3 linked regions of the Arabidopsis thaliana genome follow. The protein of the gene in region 2 interacts with the protein of the main gene of each other region in a biochemical or structural test. Each region holds a gene or a part of one and is shown on either strand. Other genes may lie near its edges.

What was found. The genes of interacting proteins can lie anywhere in the genome.
Region 1: the proteins of MYC4 (region 2) and JAZ11 form a complex in vitro, tested with the Arabidopsis thaliana proteins (one study listed by BioGRID).
Region 3: the proteins of MYC4 (region 2) and JAZ5 form a complex in vitro, tested with the Arabidopsis thaliana proteins (one study listed by BioGRID).

What each region holds. Positions count from the first base shown.
Region 1 is NC_003074.8:15,365,623-15,370,657, reverse strand, and holds JAZ11 (jasmonate-zim-domain protein 11), read right to left. Parts: upstream 3,113-5,035; 5' UTR 2,989-3,112; coding exon 2,882-2,988; intron 2,656-2,881; coding exon 2,571-2,655; intron 2,476-2,570; coding exon 2,373-2,475; intron 2,298-2,372; coding exon 2,240-2,297; intron 1,557-2,239; coding exon 1,460-1,556; intron 1,363-1,459; coding exon 1,230-1,362; intron 1,137-1,229; coding exon 1,079-1,136; intron 960-1,078; coding exon 884-959; 3' UTR 501-883; downstream 1-500. UniProt on the Arabidopsis thaliana protein: Repressor of jasmonate (JA) responses. Targets MYC2, MYC3 and MYC4 that are JA-dependent transcription activators.
Region 2 is NC_003075.7:9,932,795-9,937,688, forward strand, and holds MYC4 (Basic helix-loop-helix (bHLH) DNA-binding family protein), read right to left. Parts: upstream 2,892-4,894; 5' UTR 2,678-2,891; coding exon 908-2,677; 3' UTR 532-907; downstream 1-531. Other genes in the region: AGD8 (ARF-GAP domain 8), read left to right, coding at 4,327-4,404, 4,542-4,660. UniProt on the Arabidopsis thaliana protein: Transcription factor involved in jasmonic acid (JA) gene regulation. With MYC2 and MYC3, controls additively subsets of JA-dependent responses. Can form complexes with all known glucosinolate-related MYBs to regulate glucosinolate biosynthesis.
Region 3 is NC_003070.9:5,954,655-5,959,504, forward strand, and holds JAZ5 (jasmonate-zim-domain protein 5), read right to left. Parts: upstream 2,858-4,850; 5' UTR 2,417-2,857; coding exon 2,239-2,416; exon of another isoform or gene 2,025-2,238; coding exon of another isoform or gene 1,934-2,024; coding exon 1,843-1,933; intron 1,723-1,842; coding exon 1,399-1,722; coding exon of another isoform or gene 1,332-1,398; exon of another isoform or gene 1,232-1,331; coding exon 1,000-1,231; 3' UTR 501-999; downstream 1-500. Other genes in the region: UBP1B (oligouridylate binding protein 1B), read right to left, coding at 67-171. UniProt on the Arabidopsis thaliana protein: Repressor of jasmonate responses.

The sequences.
Region 1 (5,035 bases), on a different chromosome or scaffold from region 2:
AATACTTTAAAAGATGATCAAAGTTAAAGTTATCCCAAAATTTATTTGCATTGTTTCGTTGAATGATGTGGTAGCATTAGTCTTTGATCTTAGAGATTTGGTCTTGAAAAATGCACATATATAATTTATTACAAGTTTATACGGGATCATTTTGTAGATATATTTATGTAAATATAAAAAAAGTTAGAAAATATTTTTTTATTTTGATGATTTCAGTCGGATGATTGAGTGGTTATGGTAGCGCTACCAAAATATTTCATAATTTTGATGTTTTTATGAGTTATGATGTATAAATCATTTATAATAAATATGTTATGTTTCATCGTTTGTCATAACTTGGGCACATGTTAAATATATGTACTAAAAAATTATGCCGACCTGTTCACTTTTAGTGACCGACCCTAAATTGAAATGACCAAAAACTGGATTGGCTTGGTTTGAAAATTTTGGTTCTGGTAATAATCACATGCCTAACCAGACCTGAAAATTTTGATCTGAGGTCCCTACTAATCTCTCCGGTTAGTATTTGATGATTTCTCTGTATGTTTCTTGGTCGTGATTTGCTTATAAGGACACTAAGTCTTTCATGGTCATTTTTGAGTACTCTTGTGTTCTTATATAGCTCTGAGACCTTATCATACAGCATCAACATACATTGTGAAGAAAAAGAAATCATCTTCCTCAAAGAGGAGGTGCGAGATGATAAACACATCAAATCACAAACATGGAAAACAATTTTGTGTTTTGTCTAAGAAACATAGGCAGATGATTATCGTACAACAACGGAAGGCTTATATATGAGCTGTGTTAATCTTGTCAAAGATAACTGTGATACTGAGTTGCTTCGAAAGTAAGGTTTGAGGTTAGCTTACAGTCTTGGAGCTCATGTCACAATGGGGCTGGTTTCATTTTTGTCTGCTTCCGAAGTCGTAGCAGAGTAAGGCTTCGTGTGGACAAATCTGAAAATAAAGAGGGTCCAAGTTACTATTAGATGAAATCTAATGGTCAAACTCATAGGTGAGTGATGGAGAAAGATGAGAGTATATGTTTATAAAACAAGCACTGCAGATATGCCTACCGATGCCGTCTTTTCTCAAAAAATCTTTGAAGTGAACGTCTCCTAGCAATTGGCACATCTGAGATAAACATGCATCTTACATAAAGCTCATGGGGTTTTCCATACTCGGACTATATAACGTTTACGGTAATCCAATGTAGCAAGTCCTTACCTGCTGTCGATACGCAAGCTACTGTTGATGCGTTTGAGAATGAAATAGCTCTCTTTAATGCTGGATTTATACTGGTCAAATTAATTGTCTCAGTGGCTTTAGCTGCAGCAGCGATATGCAGAATTTCTTGAACCTATTAAGTGTGATCACCAAGAGAACAAGAAATCTCATGCAACTGCTTCCCAACAAAAACGAAATACGAATGTACTCAAAACTTGGATGGACCAAACCTTTTCAGCTGGAATACCATCAAATACGCTAAAACTCCCACCAAAAATAATGGTTAGTTGACTTGGAAGGATCATTGAACCATCTGGCTTCGTGGACCTTCAATAGAAGAAACAAGAGCTAGTTATGAATGATGGAAGATAATAATAATCCACCCAAATTTTAAGACCCTATTGATGCAAAAGGGAGAAGAACAAAATAGTGATTCCACTACAATATTACAGCCGCTTAGGCTATCAACTAACCTCAGTCCCATCAATACATCAGTTCAAACAACCTACTAAATTTAAATCATCTGATGATGTCATCTAACAGTAGATAGAAGGCTATTTTTGCATTCAACGGTACCAAAATCAAACACACAAGCCTAGTTCAAATTCAAGCTCATAAAACCGATACTAAAGAATGGGCAACAACATCTAATGTATTTGTGAGGCATGATCACTAAGAAATACACAATTATCTGGTGGCCATAAGTCAGCCAAATATGATATAGAAGTAGAATAATACATGAGAATAAAAGCTTAAACACTTGTAAGAAAAAAAACTAAAAGACTATCTCAGTTTCCGAAACCAGTCAATGTATACAAATTAACATTCACATAGATCCAGTCTCTTCATTTGCTTAAGCTTCAACAACCTACCTACACATGAAAATTCCTAAATGCAAGAACAATATTTGACGTCACAAACTAATACATACTAACAAATCAGATTCATACACACTAACACTTCCAGAACTATCAATATGTTAATAAAGCAAACACTGAATATCTAACTACCTGTCCCGTCTCTTCTCGAGAAATCTTTGAAGCGAACGTCTCCTAGCAATTGGAAGATCTGAGACAAACAGGGATTAATAGTCCGTAACTCCGTAGATAATGCTTACAGTAACCGAATGAAGCAATTGCTTACCAGCTACAGTTGAGAAAGAAAGAGCTCTGTTCAGTGCTGGATTGATACCGGTCACATTCTTCGTCTGTTTACCAGCAAAAGCGATGCGAATGATTTCTTGAACCTATTAAGCATTGATCACCAATACAATTAGAAACTCTGATGCAACCAACATAAACAAAATCAGAATGTATGTACTCAAAGCTAGATGGACCAAACCTTTTGTGCAGGGACACCATTGAAGACTCTACAACTCCCACCAAAGATAATAGTAAGTTGAGTTGAAGCATCTGGCTCTGTGGACCTTGAAACAAGAGTTTGAAATTAAACCTCTTGAGTTTCCCAAATTGATCTGCTAATTTAACAATTCATATAGATCCAAGTCTCGTCAATTGCTCACGCTCCTATAGTGTACTAAGAACTAACAAATCACAGAACTATAGGCTAAGAAAAAACTTCAAACACAAAGACAGATAAAGAGAAATGAGAATTAACGATTCAAATTGATTCCAGTTACTAGTGATACATACCTAGCTTCGTGAATCGATCTCTCAACGAGCAAGTCAAGTCCGGCGGAAACAGAACCGGTCCCGTCGGCGAAACTAGGAACGGGGAAATCTCCGTTTACCTCAGCCATGAGCCTCTCTGTGAATAATATCTGTCTTCTCCGTTTGATTGGGAATTGGTTCTCTTCTCTACGCAACGTTCGTTATTCGGTGTATTCATTATTCAATCAATTTTGTTTTCTTTTTGTTTTTCTCAGAAATATTCCAAAAAAACCTCAACTATTTGATTATTTTATATATCTAACTACTTATCTAATAAGTAATAATGCCTTACCAAAAAAAAAAACTACTTATCTAATAATACCTATTTATTTTCATTTGTTCTTGTAATATAGACAACTATTTAAAAAAATAAAATAGTGGACAATTTTGTTCGATGTGAAAAACTTAATACTCTTTACGCATCCTTTTTAGTACATGCATACCGCCGTTATCGTATTGCTAAAATAAATTAAATAAGATATATTAACACAAAGCTAACTATATAATTATGATGAAAAAATCAAAATATGTAAATTAGTCGAAGAACATTGAATCATTTTGATATTGAGGAACCAAAAATTAGAAAGAAATAAGCAAAAAAAAAAGAAATAGAGAAACGATTTGGTTTTTAAAGTTTGAAAATCTAAAAAGTAAAAATATATGAAAAGAGAATTAAAAATGAGACACTCATATCATTTTTCTATGATAATTTCCAAAAAGGCAAAAACGTATAAACTAAAAAAATACAAAGTAAATAAGAAATTTCTTTTCGTTTCAAAAAAAAAAGAATTAATTTTTTAAGGATAAAACTATAATTTGTTTTTAGAGCGTATGTATAATCTGCCAATATTTCTAGTTTGGGTTTTATTTGTCACTAATAAATTAGTTTGAGTTTTTTGACAACCGAAAAAGTTGAGGTTTTTTTGGCAAATTTTAATAGTTGAAGTTTTTTTTGGGAATTTTCTCTTCTATTTAAAACTCTATGTCGTAAAAGGTACAACAGTGGAAGCTTCCACTTCACCAACAATTCAGCTTATAAGCGGAGACCCAACTTAAAAAGTCCAATCCATAAAGATACCCCTTTAAGGAACTAAGAAATATAACAAATCCAACACAAAACCATGTGTGAGCCTATGAAGTAAAGTTGAAGTAGATGTTGTCGCCGTTCGCCGCTCATAGCCGATATGGTACGAAGCGTAAGGGAACTCCAAAACTACCGAAAACCGTCAGAGCTTCAAGAAATAAGTCCACAGGTTTTTAACTAGAGAATCCTACCAACTACATCATCAAATCTGTAAAGAAAAGATCTTCACAAGGGCAATGACTCCCGAACTCCAAAGAACATCAACGTAGATATTAAGCCGATGGAGCTTTTCAGCAACACCTAAAAACAAAAAGGAAAACACTCGTGTCCATAGATCAATTAGACAAATAGCCTCAATTGTAGATCATTCGCCATCTGAGATCGATTCCAGTGAGAAAAATCATCATTGATTATAAAAGCAAGCTTGATTCTTCTAGGTTTCATTGTTCATAAACCAATCGAACATCAAAATAGAGATTTACAGCTAAAAGCAATATTAGTGTGCAATGAAATTGTTTTCTTTTCTGCAACTTAAGATGTAACTCTTTGGATTGATTCCTGCAAATCGCAAACTCAAAAGATCAAATTGGATAATAAACACCTTTAAGCAAAAAAACACCTAAATTTCCAATAGAGGATCTATGAGATTATTGAAAGAAAAAAAAAAAAAAAAACATCAGATACACTGATAAGAAAAGTAGATCCGGCCAACGATGGTCATGGAATTCGAACGCTGTCAGGCAAGAGCCAGCCATCACTGCTAAAAACGACAGAGATGTTAGATATAAAACCCAACTATATTAAAACACATAAACGTCGGAATGCCATCAGGCCAGCGAAACAAAAGAGAAAACTTTCCCTTTTCTCTAAGATTTTTTAGAGAGAGAAGAGAGAGAAAGCTCGAAAACAATCTATTTCTTTCTCATTTTGTTCTTTTTTGTTTGTTTAAATGTGTAACTTAAGAAAAAAGAATAAAACAAAAAAAGGCATCAAGAATTTAAAACGTGCGTGAAAATAATACGTCGTCGCTTTGAGACTTTCCTTTTGAGAAA
Region 2 (4,894 bases):
AATAATCGACCACACATGTCTCCACGATTTTTTTGTATGATTTTAACTTTTTCTTCAAAGATTCATAACCTCGCTTTCCCTCCCCCACAACCCTTTTAAGACATCTTATGTTTATATCCCCATGTTTCATTTTGATTTCACCATTTTGGACCTTTATGACATATATTGATTTTTTTTTATTTTTTTAAAGGGTATTATTCTAGTGGTTTCACTTCTTCTGTCAATATCAAGAAATCCATTTAGCATTTGCATGTTGTGCATCATGATTTATGCGACAAACTTAATTACTCTGAAGTAATCTATGGTTCAAAATACTATTTAGAACGATAATGATCATGTAACATCCACATAAATTTTGAGGTCCTACATTGGAATCTCTAAATAGCTGTGATTGATTTAAATTATCCCTATTGAAAACAAAAAAAAGTAGGTATATTCGTTCCTAACAAATTAGATGCCTCTTTTGATGCCAACTTCCCAATGACTAGTCCCAAATGATGAACACAAAAAACTCACTTGAAAGTGAAATACTCAAACTTTAACTCAAAAGACAACAAAAAACTCCAACTTCAGTCCCATTTGTCTTATTTCTAACAAAAGCCTTATTTACATACATACACCAACAAACCAAAGACTTAACCATTGATCAAACACATTTATTTATCTCATGAAACAACAAACCCCAACCTAATCATATACTACACTAAGAATCCTCTCTAACAAGCATTCAATAGCAACAAGTGGGTACTACAAAATTACCCTTACACAATAGAGTTTACAACTACATTCACTAGAGAAACTTGTGTGAAAGGTTTAACACTTTTTACCGCGGCTTATACTATGATCGTTGTTTTCGACTTTTCGCAGTATTCTCCGGTGTATTAGCCCTAAAGATGCTGACTTCAATTCATGGACATTCTCCAACTTTCTCCGTTAGAGCAACCTTGAGTTGATCTTGCGTGAAAAACTGATTCCCCATTTTCACAGTCGCTTGTTGGATCATAAGATCATTCACTACCGATAAACTCGCATGATTCACTTCCAAATCCAACTCCTTAAGTGCTTCCATGAACTTAGCACCAGGATGATTCCTCTTACTACATTGAATCCTTATCATTGCATCCCAACCAATAATCTTCACATCAACCTCCATCTCTATCAACACACTCGATTCTTGATTCAAACATTTTCGATCTTTTACCGAACTTTTCGCATTTCCCGCTTCTTTATTCATCACATCAATCTGCTTCTGCAACTCTTCTTTATCAGATTCAGCCTTTTGCAACTTAGACTTAAGCTCACTGATATACGAAATAGCATCTCCTAATAGAGAAGCTTTATCCATCTTAGACACATTAGGAACCACAGCTCTTAAAGAATAGAATCTCTGATTCAACTTCTCTCTTCTCTGTCTCTCTGCCTCTACATGATTCAAAGGCTCTTCTCTTCCATTCGCCGGTTTTCTCCCTCGTTTCCTCGGTTTCTTCTCCGGTTCAACCACAACTCTGTTACTCTCAGCTTCTTTAGCCACTGAAGCTTCAAGATCAGAGTGATTCGAGTCACATGGAAGAACAGAGGTAAAAGAAAGCATCCCTTCTTCATTATTCGAAACCGGTGATCTCTTCTTATTACTACTATCTTCTTCTTGACCATTCTCAATCCCATTCTTGAAATTCACCATTTCACAAGATTTCAGAACTTTAGGGTTAGGGTTTTCAACAGAGCTTCCATTACAAAGCTTAGAAATTGGTTGAGAATCAGAATTAGAAGTTGAGTCATTTCCACCATTATTCATCACCGGAGCAGCTACAAGACCAGAGTCAACACCATTAGGTTCACTAATCCACAAACCTGGATCATTCTCTCCTTGATCTGGATTCAAATTAAACGCCCAAGAACCAAATTCACCACCACCATTGTTAAAATTGAAAAAGGTGTCAACTTTATCAACAAGATCTGAACTTTGATGAATAATCTCCGACGAACCAAGCTCAACGACACCATTCTCTGTCGCTACACACACCATTGTTTGTAACCCATAAATCTGACCTTGACGAGCTCTCTCACAACTTGATCCAGCTAAAGCATTAGAACCAGATAACCAAATCGTGTCTGAATTTGAGAAAGCTTGACCAGGTAAACCAGTACCCTTGACAAAGCTCTGTGTCATTGAAACTAAGAAGAACCATTCAGTATCTGTAACTTCTTCATCTCCAGCTTCATCTCCTCCTCCTACACCACCGGAGATTAAAGAGTTGAGCTCTCTAATCACTCTCTTACGATGCTCTTGTTCAGCTGCACTAGCTGGATTTGATTTCTTCTTTCTAGACTTCTCTTCTTCTCCTTTGTAATAACCATCTCCCCAACCTAACAACACTGTGTTGTTGTTGTTGTTGTCTTCTCCGGCGAAACCGTGAGATGATTGCCAGAACACGGCGTAAGTCCAGTTCTCGTTTGCTCCTTCGATTAAAGCTTGGAGACGTTGCTGGAGATTATCTTCGTTGACTTGAGGAAGAGGAGGAGGAGGAAGTGGAGGAAAAAGAGAAGAATGATCGGAGCCGCCGCCGATGAAAGCTTCCATTACCGATGCATCGTCGTCGGTTGACCAGAGATTTGTTGTATCCGTTTTTGATTGGTTGAGATGGTAATCGGTTACTTGAACATTCGTCGGAGACATAACAGTTCTCTGACGTAGTTATAAAAGAGAAGACTTTTTGTTTTTCCGGTGAGAGACAGAGGAGAGAAGTAAGTTCTTTAAGCAAAATATTTGTGTTTGGTTTGATTGTTTCGGGAAAAGGAATCTGTTTATATTCATTTTTTTTTTTTAACTCTAAAGAAAAAGAAATAGTACTTTTATTTTCACCAAATATGAATTATTGATTGAGTTATTTCTGAAGTTGGGTTATATACATAACTTGATTGAAAACAATTTTTTTCTGAATAGTAATTGTTTTACAAGAAAATTACTAATCTATGTAAGAGAATCGGATCAAATTTGTCAAGGAGCCTTTTACATCAAAGTTGATAATTAAGAACAATTAAAGAATGAAAATGATATTTCACTTACAATAATGATCTTGTCTCCCTCACTTTTGGTATTGGTGTCAATATCTGCTTTTCTTGTGATTAATCCCATCATTTAATTCTTGTAAGCAAGTAGCATCAATTAATTTAAACAATGAGTTTGTAGAATTGCAGTTGTTCTTTGAGGCAGGAAAATATGATTTAAAGGGATTAAGGGAGTGTTAACACCAAAGATTTGGATACAACATTTATATACAAAACCTATAAAGCAAATATTGTAGACTTGTAGTTTAACATTTTCTTATAAACATATTTTTGTTGGCTTCGTTATTGGACACAACTTTTTGCAATGATAAAGAACAAAAAAAAGACATGGGTGATTTTGATATCAAAGGTGAAAGAGACGCAAGAGCATAAAGGAAAATAAAAGGTATAGTATTAAAACAGAATTAGATTTAATTACGAAAATTATACGACCACACAAAAATAATCACATTATGTCGTGTGGGTCTCGTGTTTTTAGTGGCCAGATTTCATAATATGCTTTCTTTTTCAGTGAGAGCAAATGCCCAAAAATGTTGGTCTCTCTATGTTCATATCCGACGAAACTATAGTGTCTACTGTACAGTGACATTTCGGAATCGCATAAAAGCAAACAAAACAAATTAAGCTGGGCTTTACTTTATATTGGGCCTCACACATTTTGGGTAGTTAATAAAACTAGCCCGCAAATATTTCACATTTGACATTTTTTAGTGTATGGTCAACAACAAGTATAGCGAAACTTTTAGCATATAATATGTGTGAGACATATTATGGAAAGAAGGCAAAAATGAAAACCGTTAGTTAGTTTGAAAACCTGGAGTTATAAAAAGTCGTATTTTAATTTACTAATACATGTTAACTTCAGATATTAAAAACAAATCCTGTACGTATTAAACCATATGATAAACATAATATTAATACGAAAAATGTATAACACACGATTAGACAAATTAGGAAGTAATCTTTGAATTGAGGTTTAAGAAAAGGTGAAAATGATAAGCTTTCGTCCGTTTTATATCATCCATGTTGCTTCAGAAACGGAATTTACACACTACGTGTCGTTTCTACGTAATGCCATTTTCGTAATTTCTAGAGTTTATTCAGGGTGTTTTCGTCAGTCTAGTCAGATCAAATGTTTCCATCAAACGTTAGTACTGTTTCCTTTAGATTTACAGATTTTGAAGAAGAAAGATTTCAAATTAAAAAATCTTTCAAATTTCTTCAAGGAGGTGATCAAATTGAACAATTTGATCTACAATGGCTTCTTCTTCTGCTGACAATCTTACCGACAAAAACATTGTTTTCAGAAAACTCAAATCAAAATCTGAGAACAAGGTAATCAAATTTTTTTCTGAATTCTTCTCTTTCTTTGAGTATCGTCAATTTGATATTGTGTATGTTTAGATCTGAGAGTTGTTTGACTAGATCTTTGATTCATTTATGCTAATTTTGGTTTTGATTTGCCAATTTAGGTCTGCTTCGATTGTAGTGCGAAGAATCCAACTTGGGCATCGGTTACATATGGGATTTTCCTCTGCATCGATTGTTCAGCTACTCACCGGAATCTTGGTGTTCATATCAGCTTCGTCAGGTAAACAATTCATCATCTGATCCAATTCTTCGGCATTACTCTAGCTCAGATTTTGGCTAAGGTTTAAGCTTTTGAGGCCTTTATAAGGGAATTAGCTTAAACCGTGCTCAGGTGTTCAGAATTGTTGGCTAATGTGTAGCATTACGTTGACTTTAGTGTGGTTGAATCATCAGATTATGTTTTAAGGTTTCAGAATTGTTGACTTCAAAATTTCACCAGTGTCTTGAAATTAGA
Region 3 (4,850 bases), on a different chromosome or scaffold from region 2:
CGAGCTTGGGAAAAAGAGCCTAGAAACCCAAATCGAGCATGGAAATGGAAGAAGAATAGAGCAAACCTGTGGCGGGGCAAGGAGACCAGGATGGTAGAGAGACTGTTGCTGCATAAGAGCTTGCTGCATCATAACTTGTTGCTGCTGCTGCTGCTGCTTCAACCTCTGCATTTTCTCTCTCGGGGAAAAAATTATTGTCTTTGATTTTGCTTTTCGTTCCCAGGTAATGAAAATTGACACAGTGTTCTGTCTTTTAGGGTTCGAAAGTGTTTTCGGTGTTCGAGAAAAATGTAAGAAAAATGACAAAATATTAATAACAAAAAAAAAATGAAGAACAGGAAAAAAAAAAGGAAGTCTCTTGATAGAAAGCGAAGGAAGCAATCGAGTGGCTCTTACGAATTTTATTGGATTTATTATTTTTACACATCGATTAGCTAAAGTCACAGGCTGTAAGAAAATTTAAAAAGCAACAGCCAATGAACTCGTCCCACGTTAAACTTATGGCTCAGGCCCAATCACTGTCCAAATCAGACACGCCTTCAATGAACTTGAACCTGACAACTAATTACAATAAACACCCCTGAGTTTAGTGAAAACTTGATATACACTCCAATAATAATCATTTTCATAAATTACACCCTAAATAAATTAGAAAGGAGCTCTGATCACTTTCAACCATCTTTACCCGCATTACGATTGCAGTCAGATTCCTCTTCATGTTATTGCAGTCAGATCAATTCACAACTCCTAAATATTCTTCCTCTTGTCTAATTTGCTATTTCTCGCTTAACGTTATGTAATTTAACTCCCAAGTGTTGTACGTAGTTAACTAATTATAATATAACTTTACTATCGTCTATTGTGTTTATGAATGAATATTCAAGTTAGAATAAGATTACATACTGTAGTACAAAGCAAAATAAAATCACTTAGATAAGTCAGAAAAATCGAAACGTTAATCTAAAAACTCAGTTCCTACAAGAAATTTAGCAAATATTACTATAGCCTTAGATCGAGATCTTTCGAACTTTGGCCTTCTTCAATCTTCATAATATCATCTTTATCACCGTCTGATTTGATATGGGCCATGGTTTGACCAATGGCGTTATCCGGCGGTCTTTGTGACGACTGTCCTGCCTCTAGTGGTTGACCGGTTACAATCTCTGGCTTGGGAGGATAACGATGATGACCTGCGTTTTGGTTAACTTGGTACGGAGCCCTAGCCACAGCTCTGCAACAGAAAAATTAATAACGTAAATTACGAGGCTTGTTGAGGATAATTTAGGAGAACTTATATCAGAGGGAGGATCCTTAAACTTTTGAGTTTTGAACTAACTAGAGTGATTGGAAATTTGGAACATTAAAACAAGTTTCAAAAAGTATGATAAGGTTAAATACCTGTCTTTCCGTTTAGCAAAGAATCGATGGAGGGAAGCTCTACGTGCTATACGTTCCACGATCTGATTTTGTTCTTGTTGCTGTTGTTGTTCCTTTGTTAGGTGATTATTATCAGTAGGCTCATTGAGATCAGGAAGAACCATGCTGCTCTTGTTGTTGTTGTTTTCGTCATTGATTGGTGTCTGAATGTTAATCTCAGTCACAGGCTTGGCTTGTTTTGCTACTTCCATAATCTCTTTAGCTTTGTCTACGGGGAACTCATTATATACTAAAACTTTCCCTCCGAAGAATATGGTCAGCTGCGAACTTCCTGGCTGTGATTCACTGCAAACCAAAAACAGATTTCAGAACAAAACCAATTTTAACCGGATTAACCGATTATCCTTTTCTCTAATCTCCAATAACCAAAAACAACAAGTATTCCCAAGGAACAAAAGGAGAGACCTGAGGTCAGCAACATCTTTGACTTTGCCTCCTGATGAGGTAGAGGGTTCGCCTTTGGAATGCCCTGCCTTATGCATCGCATTTTGTTTCCCTGCATAAAGAGAATAAAAACTTTCGTGAACTATAATAACTTTAGAAAAATGATATAGCATCTTATATCTTTGGAATTTTATTAACCACATCTCAATCAATTTCTATATCAACTTATTCGTTATTTTTGTTACTTGTCTTCATAATTACAAGGAGAAATTATTTCTGAAGTAAGGAACTGACTTACAAATGAAGAAACAATACAAAAGTAGTAAATCTGGCAAAAGCAAGTAGTAACAGAACTGAGTTTTTAAAGTACTATTACCAAGTGGCGGCCATGAAAGAAGAAAGAGATAATAAAAGTACCTGGTGGATCGAATTTTCCGGGCAACGCGAGACTGGAATCGGGTTTTCGGTATAAGCCAAGATCAATGTTTCCGAAACTACCCTTCTCCTTCAAGTAACGGCTGAGCAAACTACATCTCCGGGTAAAGTCAGATTTCTCCGGCGCTTGTGCCTTAGCATTTTCATTGCTCGACGACATGTTGTTGTTTATTGAGAAGAAAGAATTCTCCACACTTACTTTTTAAAGATATTCTTTATCTCTTCTTTTCTTTTCTTTTTGTTGGTGCGTGGATTGCGCGTAAAATGGAAGAGTACAAGAGGCTACTAGCTCAATAGCTCATGTGTTTATAAACTCATTCACCCAATAAGTTTCTGTGACTTTAATAGCCTCTCATAAATTAATGAAAACAAAAATAAATAGGAACTTTTTAGTTTCTTAAAAATATTTCAATATATTGTGACCAAAATAGAATTAAACTTCTCAATAATAAATTTATTAACAACAACCAAAAAAACCAAAAAACAAATCTTACATAAAGCCATGAGATTATATCATATTTAGTAATATTCCATCGCATGCATTTTTAACTAGTTAAAGAACTATATCTAGTGTGAAGAAAGGAATTTTCATCCATGATTAATAGTAAGAAAATTAATGTTAATAATCCATCATTGTGCAAGTAATTTATCTATTGTTTTATGAGTTGGTACAACAAATTTATTGCCCTGTCTTATCATAAAAATATGTTCACCTCTTGTTTCTTGTTTGGCACAGTTTAGTTGTCTACCATCAACGGCCAGATTTCAAAATTGGACTACTTTTTTATATATATTTTCGGTTAGAATTTACCGCACGTTTTCCTTACGCGTAACGATAAAAGAGAAAAAGAATAAAGATTTCAGAACCGACGGCAAACGTTATTAAACGGCGTATGTCACAAATTCGTAAAAGACTCGAAATTTGATCGTATTTACAAAATTTGCCCTTCCACAAGAGCACATTACCAACTCCAGTGATGGCATCATCGTAATAGAAACAACTTTCATGGCCTTTTTTTACATCACCGCGACGTTCCTCACGTTAGTTAACAAACTTAACGGCGGTGCGAATTGAATAGTAAGTGGACCAATGTGGGATCCTACCATCAAACCCCTACGAAGTTTCATGTGCCATAAAAATTCAAAGTCTCCGATACGATCCGACAGAAGTTTTTTGATTAAAACACGTGGTTTAAATAGAACAGACCGTCAAGATTGTGACACGTATCGCAATCTGTACGACGCACTAGCAACAGTATCGTGTGAATCGCGTTTTTCCCACTTTCCTATAGAAAGAAAAAAGGAAAAATCTTAAGATCACCTAATCAGTTTGGTCAAAAATAAAATTGATGGATCAATTGACCGAACTGCCCCTTTCACGGATGCCCATAATAATCAATACGTTCGTTGGTTGCTTCAAAACTACGACTCGTTCAAAAAAACGTGTTCGGGGAAAATGATACCAAAGATATAAAAAGTTTAGATGTGACTTAGTTTAATAAGTGTTGTTGATGGGACTAAATGAAGCAAGATTAGAGCAAACCGAGTGATCGGCCAATTGATCGAACCAGATTGTCAAACCGGTTTGGTAACTCGTTACCCCTAGCTACGCCACTACACTACTTGCATTGTTGCAAAGACCAAGTGGCTGTTGTGTTTTGGAAAAAAAAAAAACGTTCTGGGGTTTAGAAAAATTGGGTAGCGAATGGGTCCTTTTGAAAGTGATATTTTTTTTTGTAGAAGAGGGGGGCGAACCCCCATTTTTATTAAAACTGAAAAAACTAAAAAAATTACACTTGAACGTTCCGGGGGTACGCAGACCCCGCTACATCATCGTGAACAATCGACATAACAATATCCGGAGTAGAATTAAACAAATGAAAACCTAACGGTAAAAAAAAAGCATAGTTAGCTAACCCATCCGCGAGACGATTAGCTTCTCTATACACATGCGAAATCCGGACTGACCAGTCCTTTGAAAGTAAGCCATGGCACAACCGCACCAGGAAGGACAGCGGATGCGAATCATCAATCCCTGTCCGAAGAAAACCCACTACCATCTCCGAATCAATCTCCATCTCCAACTGTGTGACACCGCGCTCCCAAGCGATATTTAAACCGTAATATGCTCCCCATAGTTCCGCAAGCGGAGCCGAACAAATTCCAATATTCAACGAAAACCCATAACACCAATTTCCATCCCCGTCTCGAACTACTCCACCTGCTGTAGCTAGTCTCGGGTTACCACGCGAAGCACCATCAGTATTGAGCTTAAACCAACCCACCCTTGGCGGAGACCACGCAATCAATCTCTCCTCCCTAGCTGTCCGCGTCGTCACTCCCATTTTGTGCACATGCGCCTTCCAAACATCCAACGCACGATCCTTAATAAAACGAACCCGATCCCGACACTTCTTGTTCTCGCCAAAGATGTTACCGTAACGCCATTTCCACCCCCACCATATGGCCTGCGAAAAAGTGACCGCCCATGGACAACCATTAATCTCTATCTCCTCTCCTAAATTCGCATAGATCCATTCTAACAGCGATTTCGAAAAGAAAGAAGAGAGTCTCCGTACTGGTAACAAGCGGGT